2 linked regions of the Arabidopsis thaliana genome follow. The protein of the gene in region 1 purifies or fractionates together with the protein of each later gene. This does not show direct contact. Each region holds a gene or a part of one and is shown on either strand. Other genes may lie near its edges.

The links.
Region 2: the proteins of MGT4 (region 1) and sks18 fractionate together in Arabidopsis thaliana (co-fractionation; one large-scale study listed by BioGRID). This does not show direct contact.

What each region holds. Positions count from the first base shown.
Region 1 is NC_003074.8:6,818,766-6,824,061, forward strand, and holds MGT4 (magnesium transporter 4), read left to right. Parts: upstream 1-2,160; 5' UTR 2,161-2,203; coding exon 2,204-2,635; intron 2,636-2,921; coding exon 2,922-3,134; intron 3,135-3,212; coding exon 3,213-3,341; intron 3,342-3,487; coding exon 3,488-3,648; intron 3,649-3,724; coding exon 3,725-3,956; intron 3,957-4,051; coding exon 4,052-4,339; 3' UTR 4,340-4,702; downstream 4,703-5,296. Other genes in the region: AT3G19630 (Radical SAM superfamily protein), read right to left, coding at 1-153, 243-342, 453-622, 975-1,079, 1,212-1,346, 1,424-1,534, 1,655-1,909; AT3G19650 (cyclin-like protein), read left to right, coding at 4,778-4,848, 5,163-5,296. UniProt on the Arabidopsis thaliana protein: Magnesium transporter that may mediate the influx of magnesium.
Region 2 is NC_003070.9:28,453,994-28,459,283, reverse strand, and holds sks18 (SKU5 similar 18), read left to right. Parts: upstream 1-1,755; 5' UTR 1,756-1,895; coding exon 1,896-2,033; intron 2,034-2,158; coding exon 2,159-2,268; intron 2,269-2,341; coding exon 2,342-2,612; intron 2,613-2,824; coding exon 2,825-2,927; intron 2,928-3,024; coding exon 3,025-3,385; intron 3,386-3,488; coding exon 3,489-3,854; intron 3,855-3,936; coding exon 3,937-4,015; intron 4,016-4,094; coding exon 4,095-4,304; 3' UTR 4,305-4,503; downstream 4,504-5,290. Other genes in the region: AT1G75800 (Pathogenesis-related thaumatin superfamily protein), read right to left, coding at 1-259, 341-395.

The sequences.
Region 1 (5,296 bases):
GCCGCTAATATCCTGACCCATTTCTTTGCGAATTGTAGTCCGGATCTTGTATGTTTCCCTCAGGATTTTCTGGAATCTTGACACGCCTTGTATGCTGCTTGTTTCGAATTGGCTTGTGGATCCAATTGGATTAAATGGTATCAAATTTATGACCTGTTCAAGAAAAGAGCACAGAGTTTCCATAAAAAATATCATCAGATAATTGCAGAACCTTTAAGAGTATTAAGACATCGAAGATTTACCACTTGAAATGTCTTTAGCAATTCGCCTAGTAGATGAGCGTGCTGCTCTTGATCATTTACTCCATCAAGCATTATGTACTCAATGAAGATCTTTTGTTGACTGTTAAATCCAATGACAATGTGGCATAATGTTATAATCGTCAATGTAACTGAAGGGATTGTGGTTTTAATATTTAACAGCAACGAACCAGTCAAGAGTACATGAACTACCTGTTCTTTTGGAAAGTTTGAAGTGCATCCATAAGCTTTTGTAAAGGAAAGGCTCTAGCTGCTGGCATGATCTGGCAGCGGATTTCTTGAACTGGTGCATGGAGGGATACTGCTAAACTTACACCGGGTAGATCATTGTGTAGCTTGTTAATTGCGTGAACAATTCCGACCTATGCAAATGACATTAGGATACAGGGAAATTTATTTGCTAACTAGTAAAAAAAAGTGTCAACACAGGCAGCATTGCATGATTTAGATTTATGCCTGGAATATACGGTACAAGCATTACGGAAGGACAAGGAAATCAGAAGAAAATCCCAAAACACCAAAATTTAAAAGTAACCAACTAGACAAAAAAAGCTGAAAGATGTCTTGGAAGCTGCATACTGCGAGGTTTAATGGATTGAAGTTTATCTATCAGTTCCCTTTATCAAATTCCATAATCTAAAGTATTCCTACAAAATTCAGTGAATAAGTTTCTCTGTTTTACGAATGTTTCAAGGTAGCTTTCTGAGTACTTACAGTTGATATGGTAATTCTTTTGGGCGACAGCTGAAATGGTTGGTTTAACATGACACGAACAGCTTCAACAACAGCATTGTAGTTATTTAAAGGTTCTCCCATTCCCTGATCACAATCATCAAACCAAGGCAACAACTGGTGAATAAAATTCATCAATGCAGAGTATATAAAATAAATAACCATAAGGCAAGGTGCACATAGTGTAGATAAAATGCAATAACAGAAGCAGAAATATACCATGAAAACGATGTTGCGTATATCAGCAATGCGAGAGGCGTGAACAAGCTGCTCCACAATTTCTCCAGATGTTAAATTGCTTTTAAATCCCATGGTACCAGTAGCACAGAATGTGCAACCCATCTTACAACCAACCTATTGATAAATACTTTCACATCACATGTCTTTCATTCGATAAAACCAAGATAACATTGCGTGATAAAAATCAATACCTGAGATGAAATACATAACGTAGATCTTATACCTCCAGGACGTGGTTTCCCTCCTAACATCCCCAACCGAGTATCGTATCTCATTACCACAGCTTCCACAAAAGCTCCATTCTTCAATTTCAAAACCAAAAGCAAGAATCCAATATGAGTTCGTCAGGAAACAGAGACATTACAAGTTTTTCAGAATCCATAAAAGCAATGTGTTGTATACAGTAACAGAGTATAGAGTACCTGGAGCTTGATGAGAAGCTTTGAGGTGGTGCCATCGGAGGAATGAAATAGCGAGTGAAGAGACGAAGTAAGAGTCTTGAACTTGGAATGGAGAAGAGAGTATGCAGCGGAAGGCAATGAAGGAATCTCGTCCCAAACGCAATCAGGATTCTGAATTACATACTTCCAGATTTGAATCGCGAATTTAGGGTTTATTCCCGCTGATTCAAATTCCGATTTGATTTCCGAAGCATCGAACACCGATTTCAACTTCATCGACTCTTCCTTGGGAATTCTCCGCTCGCCGTCGCCGATTTTAAAAGCCCTAAACTTTTAAAGCAAATCCCCTCCGTCACAACAAAAATTCAAAGAAGAAGCTAAAACCGGTTTGGTTTTTGGTGGAAAATCTAAACCCGGTTTGATTTTGATATTTGGGGGAAAAGTAAAAACCGGTTTGTCTTAACCGTTTTTGTCCTTTGTGGTGGACGAGCCGGAATATAAATTCCCCAATTTTCACTTCCAACATTCCTCAGCTGCTCGATCTCTCTCTGATCACAACAATCATAAGCGATGAGAGGAGCTAGACCCGATGAATTCAATTTTAGTACGAATCCATCAACGCCAAACACTGGTCAGCCGACACCGACGTACCCCGCCGGTGTTGGCGGCGGCGGCGGTGGAAGGAAAAAAGGCGTTGGCGTGAGGACGTGGTTGGTACTTAACTCGTCAGGGCAATCGGAGCCGAAGGAAGAAGGGAAACACTCCATCATGCGGCGAACGGGATTACCGGCGCGTGATCTTAGGATTCTCGATCCACTGTTGTCGTATCCATCTACTGTTTTAGGTAGAGAGAGAGCGATTGTCATCAATTTGGAGCATATCAAGGCAATCATCACTGCTCAAGAAGTTTTGTTGCTTAATTCCAAGGATCCTTCGGTCTCACCCTTTATTGATGAGTTGCAGAGGCGGATTCTCTGTCACCATCACGCCACTAAACCTCAGGTAATTGGAGAATTTAGGGTTTTCCCACTGTTCATTTGGAGCTCTTTTTGTTTATTCAAGGAGTTGGCTTTTGTATTGTCTCCTTTTGTTTGTGCCTAATTGCATTGTTTTGGAATTGGGAAGTAGAAATATTTTCGCTTGACAATGGAATATGTATATAATAGCTAATGTATTGTTGAGACATGGTTGACTATTTGATTTGTGCAATGGTGATGATATGTGAAGATTATGGTTGTCAGTTTAGCTATGGTTGACTATATACTCTCTTTGTATGTGTTGTGTAAAGGAGGAGCAGAACTCTGGGGGAGAGCCTCATACGAGGGTAGATCCTGCCCAAGGAGAAGCTGGAACGGAACAATCTTCTGGGGATCAAGGGAGTGAAGCCAAGAAGGATGCGAAGCAAAGTCTTGAGAATCAAGATGGATCGAAGGTTCTTCCATTTGAGTTTGTTGCTCTGGAAGCCTGTCTTGAAGCTGCATCAAGCAGTTTGGAACATGAGGTAAATACTTATGTTAAGGCTCTGAGACAAAGCATATTTCTTCTCTTGTTTGGTATTTGATTCATTCTTCTAATGTAGGCCTTAAGATTGGAGTTAGAGGCTCATCCAGCCCTGGACAAGCTTACTTCCAAGATCAGTACCCTTAATTTGGAGCGGGTTCGACAGATTAAAAGCAGGCTGGTTGCAATAACTGGACGTGTTCAGAAGGTGCTATGATTCGGACATTAAAATGGCTCCTTTGATATTATGATAAGGATTTATCATGTTTCCTTATAGATGTGAACCTATGACATCACCATATTCTAACCACGTTTGCCTATACTAATAACACTTTTTCTCTTTACATGTTCTAGGTGAGGGATGAGCTAGAACATCTGCTAGACGATGATGAAGATATGGCTGAGATGTATCTTACAGAGAAGTTAGCTCAGAAACTTGAGGATTCGTCAAATTCCTCTATGAATGAGAGTGATACCTTCGAGGTTGATCTTCCTCAAGGAGATGAGGATGACAGGCATGTATCAACTTTCTGAGCTTGCAGTACCTTCTATTGTTCTGATATAAGTTTAACATCTGCCTTTTTACTCCAGGCTTCCTCCCGAATTTGCATCAGAGGCTAACAGAGATGGAAGGTATCTTCAAGCAAATGATGCTCACGAGCTTCTTATGAGTACTCAAAGTGCACTTAGCAGAAATAGCCGTGGGACTCACACAAGCTCAACCCGGAGTGCCATGACCAACAAATTAGATGTGGAAGAGCTTGAAATGCTTTTGGAAGCATATTTCGTGCAGATCGATGGTATACTGAACAAACTATCAACAGTAAGTAAATAGACCAGATGCTTTGGTACTCTTTGTCGTGATGATATCCTTCTTCTAATACATTGTGGTTTTTGTTGTTGTTATGATGAAAAAAGCTAAGGGAATATGTGGATGACACGGAGGACTACATCAACATAATGCTAGATGACAAGCAGAATCATCTTCTGCAGATGGGTGTGATGCTAACAACAGCTACTCTGGTGATGAGCGCCTTTATCGCAGTTGCTGGTGTATTTGGTATGAATATAACCATAGAGTTGTTCACGGATAATAAACATGGTCCAAGTAGATTCATTTGGACTGTGATTGGAGGTTCTATCGGCAGTATATGCCTCTACGTTGGTGCCATCGGGTGGTGCAAGTACAAGCGCCTTCTTGAATGAGTCGACCAACAACATATTGGGAGAGGAGAATAATGTCGCATTGCCACAAATCTATTTAAGCTAACAAGACTTTTATGTATATCCTTTGTTCTTGAGGATCTTTACTACTCTCAAACCTTTTTTTATCCGTCTCCTTCACTATTTGCATTTCTTTCGATTTAATAAAAGAGCAAATTGCATAGTTTCCTTCTTGCTTATTTCGACATCAAAATTTAGATATAGACTGATTAGAGAACCGGATTTTATAATGGTATCGCAGATCGTTTCTGTGCACAATTCTAACTTATGGGGTTTTTTCTGATACTTGAAGAAATATAAGGCGGAAACTGTAATATTGAGGAAATTGACAATTTCTGACGGGAAAATTAGATAAAATGTTGCAGGCAGGCGTGGGAAGAGAGAAGAGCAAAGCCCTAAAATTTCTTCGGTGAGAGAAACATGTCGACGAGGCGAGAAAGCAGAGATTCAGACCCTAGACGTCACCGTTCTAGAATCGATCGCGAACCCAGGTCTTCTTCTTCTGGAGATTCCTGCTCTATCTTCATCTTCTATTATAACTTTGAAGCAAATAAAATTCGGTTTTGAACAACGAGGAAGCTCATAGTGTCTTTTGTCTAGAAATCGAAATGAAAGCTGAATTTAGTGTTGAAGTGATTGTTTTTTGAATCATCCTATGTTGATCTGTCTACTCTAATTTGGTCACATTCACTCTCGAACAGTGGAGATTTTTCTGAAGATGGTCAATTTTACTGATAGGCACAATTAGTTGATTTTGGTAGCTTATCACAGTTGTACAACTAATCATTTATGTTTTTGTCTTTAGCCCTAAGAGATCAAGAAGAGATGGCAAACCTGAAGCTGAACGAGTTCTGAGTAAGAAGGATTTGGATGTTAGAGATGGTACTGACACTGAGAAAAACTCACGTCAGTCTTTGAGAGATGCTCCATTGGAACTTG
Region 2 (5,290 bases), on another chromosome or scaffold:
CCGGATCCGGAGCATTCGAGGGTACCAGATCCGCAATCTCCGGTGAGACAAGTGAATTTTCCGTCGGTGTCGGTGGAACATTGAGTTCTCCCCCAGAATCTTCCTCCCCATGAAGTTGGAGCGCTGATTGTTCGTTCTTCGCCTTTTTGGAGAACGAATCCGGTCGTCGGAAGTGGTGGAACTCCGGCGTTTGATAAAAGTCCAGGCCAGACTGTGTATTCGCATTTGTTCACCATAATGAAGCTCGTTGATCTAACTCCTGTTTATAAAACCATAAAATCATCAGAATCACAGTATTATTAATCATAACTAAAGTTGATCTATAGGAGAAGATTCGTACCAGAAACGAACAAATGAGAGAAGATAAGGAAGATCAATGGCAACGGAAGAGCCATTGAATTGGAGAAGAAGAAGATTTAAGGACTTTAATTGCTCTGTTTTCTTCTTCTTCTTTATTAGTTTTATTTATGAAACAGAGACTTAAAAGAGGATTCTGAGAGCGAAAGAGAGATGAAGAAGAAGATGTGTGCTTTATAGTAGAAGCTTTTTTCCTCTGTTGGTGAGAATCTGGTGTATGTGTTGGTTGGTAGCTTATGGTACGCCTGCTTACGTGGACACATCTAATTGGTTATTTTTTTTAACCGTTGAGATTAAGAAAAGCACCTGATGATTTTATATAGTAAATTTTGTTGTTTAATCGGTTCATAGTTCATAATTAGCACTATACGATAATGGGTTAGTCTGGTTTTTAAATAGTTAAATTACCACTAATTGTTGTCCGAGTTTGATTGATAACATTTTAACGAAAATATCCAATTACCTTTTGACGTTCACTTTTAATTAAAAATATCTACAAAACGTAAAGTAGATCTTTATTTTTCAAGATTCTTTAACTTTACTGTTTAGTTACGTGATTAGGATTTGTAACCACGTAGACGTGTAAAACAAAATTACTTTTTTATCTGTGATTTATAGGAATTTGAGATTTGAATGCAACGTTGTTGTTTCATCTAACAATAAGTGATGAAGAACTTCAAAAGTCTAAAACCATATCATTTATAAAATCATCATTTCATTTTCAGAACAACTAGGTACGATTAGTGGACGTTTCAACGTCTTTCATGATAATCGCGGGCCATGTAAATTATTATATTTGAGGAATGAGGATCCATATAATATCTTGGCTATATAAAAATTATTTATTTGTTCAATATAATATCTTTGCGTTTTATTGATCAATTGCAAGTTTGCAACGATATACACCAGGAAAAAAAAGGAGAAACAAAATTCATTTTGCTTATACGTATGTACTATGTACATTTCTGTATACTCAAAGTTGTTAGATATTTTGTTGTGGAAAGTGATAATGTTGTTACTTTTTACTGTTTTTTAGGTGGTGTGAACTGTGAAAGTTTGAAAGATACAAAAGTGATGAATAATTTTTCAATAATTGTTTTGCGTTGTATTATTTTTTGTAGGAGTAATAGCGACCATCTTTGTAATATTGTGTAGACAGACAGGTCACATCCACTTTACAATATATCGTAAGCAATTGCCATCGTCCTCCCTCACGTTTTTTTTTTCGTCCGTCACATTACAATAAGATATTTAATGGGCCTTTATGCATGGTTTAGTATAATGAATAAGCCCAGCAAATTTTAACAAAAGCACAAATGTGCTGCCCATAAATTAGGTTGGAAATGCAGATTGCATGAACTTTTCGATCATATTCAAAAAACATAGCACAAAACAAACGTTAACTCCAAACAGAGTAACAATAGTTGTCGTCTAATTAATATATTGTTCCAAAGAAAAATATGTAGCTACGTCTTGCCTCTAACACCTCTTTTTCACATCACAAGCATCTTAAAATTTCTTAAATCACTCTTTTCGCGATGAGACATGTCTTTGTCGAGGTGTTGGTTCTGATCTCTTTGGTCATCTTGGAGTTGAGCTATGCGTTTGCACCAATCTCATCGTATCAATGGGTCGTCTCGTATTCTCAACGTTTCATTCTTGGAGGCAACAAGCAGGTAACCATTTTCATTTGAATATGTTTTTATTTGTTACAATAATATGGTTTTAGCTATCTTATATGAAATTTCAGATGCATGATCAATCTATAGGTTATAGTATTCACCAAAAAAAAAATCTATAGGTTATAGTGATCAACGACATGTTCCCTGGACCGATCCTTAATGCAACAGCAAACGATATCATTGTCGTTAACATTTTCAACAATTTGCCCGAACCCTTCCTCATGACTTGGTATATATTTTCAACTTTTTGTTTTGGGTTAATTTTAGGAATAATTGTTATTAAACCTCTATGTAAATTAAAGGAATGGATTGCAATTGCGGAAGAACTCGTGGCAAGATGGAGTTCGAGGGACAAACTGTCCCATACTACCGGGGACAAATTGGACGTACCGTTTTCAGGTGAAGGATCAAATTGGAAGTTACTTTTATTTTCCGACCCTTCTACTTCAGAAAGCTGCCGGAGGATACGGTGCTATTAGAATCTATCCCCCAGAACTTGTCCCAGTCCCATTCCCTAAGCCCGACGAAGAATACGACATCTTGATTGGAGATTGGTTTTATCTCGACCATACAGTATGTTTCTTTGATAAATTACCGTATTATCATCAAACCTACATTCCAATACTATCCTTTTTATATATAAAAAAACTAATTTTGTAGATCATAATCATTTTGGTTATTGAGTTTTATCTTGCCCATTTATTGAATGTGTTATTAGTTTCATTGTAAAAGATGTTTTGCTTGATTTGCATAATTAACACTTGGTTTCCAAATTTTGGTGTAAGGTTATGAGAGCTTCACTTGACGCTGGTCACAGTTTGCCAAATCCTGATGGTATTCTTTTTAACGGGCGTGGCCCTGAAGAGACCTTCTTTGCATTTGAACCAGGTGAGTTTTTTTCTTCTTTTAAAAATATTACATTATATCTTTAATAATGTAGTTTACACACAAATGTTCTTTTTATGTTGTCTATATATAATCACAGGCAAAACATATAGGCTAAGAATATCAAACGTGGGTCTCAAAACATGCTTAAACTTCAGAATCCAAGACCACGATATGCTTCTAGTTGAGACAGAGGGTACGTATGTTCAAAAACGTGTTTACTCGAGCCTGGACATCCACGTAGGCCAATCATACTCTATTCTTGTCACTGCCAAAACCGACCCGGTTGGAATTTACCGGTCTTACTACATATTCGCCACAGCTCGGTTCACTGATTCCTACCTTGGCGGTATAGCTTTAATTCGATATCCCGGTTCCCCACTTGACCCAGTCGGACAAGGTCCACTCGCACCTGCTTTGCAAGATTTTGGTTCCTCAGTTGAACAAGCCCTTTCCATTAGGTAAAGAAATACTCTTTTTTTATACCAAAGAATAAAAACTTTTATATGAAATATTTCGTTTAGTATTTGTTCTTGACTAATAAACGTTAAGTGTACGACACAGAATGGACCTGAACGTTGGAGCAGCAAGATCGAACCCTCAAGGTTCGTACCACTATGGACGAATAAACGTAACCAGAACGATAATATTACATAACGACGTTATGTTATCGTCGGGCAAACTACGGTATACGATTAACGGCGTTTCGTTTGTCTACCCCGAGACTCCGTTAAAGCTCGTTGATCATTTTCAGCTAAATGACACGATAATCCCTGGCATGTTCCCGGTTTATCCATCCAACAAAACACCGACTCTTGGAACTTCAGTGGTCGATATTCATTACAAAGATTTCATCCACATCGTGTTCCAGAACCCTCTATTTGGATTGGAGAGTTATCACATCGATGGTTACAATTTCTTCGTTGTCGGGTAAAAATTACAATATTTAAATCATAATTATGTGTATGATGATTAAATTAGGTGTACTAATTTTATTTGAGTTTAATGTTAGATATGGATTTGGAGCTTGGTCTGAAAGCAAAAAAGCTGGATATAACTTAGTAGATGCTGTTTCACGGTCAACAGTTCAGGTTAAGCCATATCTAATCTCGTAATTTAAAGTATTAAACCAGTGATTAGTTTTGGTTAATTGATTCTGTGTGTGTTTAGGTTTATCCATATTCGTGGACAGCAATATTGATAGCTATGGATAATCAAGGAATGTGGAACGTGAGATCACAGAAAGCAGAGCAATGGTATCTTGGTCAAGAGCTTTATATGAGAGTTAAAGGTGAAGGAGAAGAAGATCCTTCGACTATTCCGGTTAGAGATGAAAATCCGATACCGGGAAATGTCATCCGTTGTGGCAAAGTTCGATAATAATTAATTGTCTGAAATAATAAAACCTAGAAAAGTCTATTTTAATTAGCAAAACTAAAGAACGGTTTAAAGGAATGATCAGAGAGTATTAGGATCTGTGTTGATCTTAGGGTTTGTGGTTTGATTGCGATTCGAATCACTTGTGTAATTGCAGAAGACGGATGGTAATTTAAAGAGATGATCTTAGGGTTTGTGGTTTGATTGCGACTAAAGACTACTAGACGATGCCGTTTTAGATTTTAATGGGCTCACACAGTTGTTATCTGCAAACCGGCCCAGGTCTGTTTTGACTTGGTGAGTGCTAACGTGCTCTATAAGAAGATATTGTAGCCACATACGAACAGCTAACGTGCTCCCATTTCCTCTATGTTCCCTTGAGTGACATACGTTTTCACAATAAGTTGGGAGCAAGTAATTTACCAAGAACAAATATATATTTTAAAAAATATAGGATCCTTTTACAAGTTCAATTATTGATTTTGACGTTACGTATAAACAGTAGATCGACCATGACATAAATAAAAATGAAAAAATAATTGGATCAAATCTCAGATCTTACTACAGTCTACATCTACCTAGCTACATGTGCTATGGCATTATTTGTTTTTCATGTTATCATCAATATTGTATAAAAGATCCAAACACAATCAGTGTGATGATATTTTTCTATACTTTTGATCATTCAACCGATTTCAATTATTGTGTTTGATCGTTTACATAGAAATAGGTACATATGCATTCAAGATCTCCAGATCGTTTATTACGTCTTGCTACATGTGCTATGTCACTAAAACAACTAAGATACTACATGCAAAGTTACTGTATTCATTACGCATTGATCGTCTTCTTCTACGCACTATTATTGAATTTTTGTTTCTCGATGTTTTCAGAAGTCATAACATATAATCAAGGGTGGTTGTAGCTAGTCGTGATGAAATTCGAATAGTAAAAGATTCATCAAATGGATCAAGATTTGAAACTAGAAT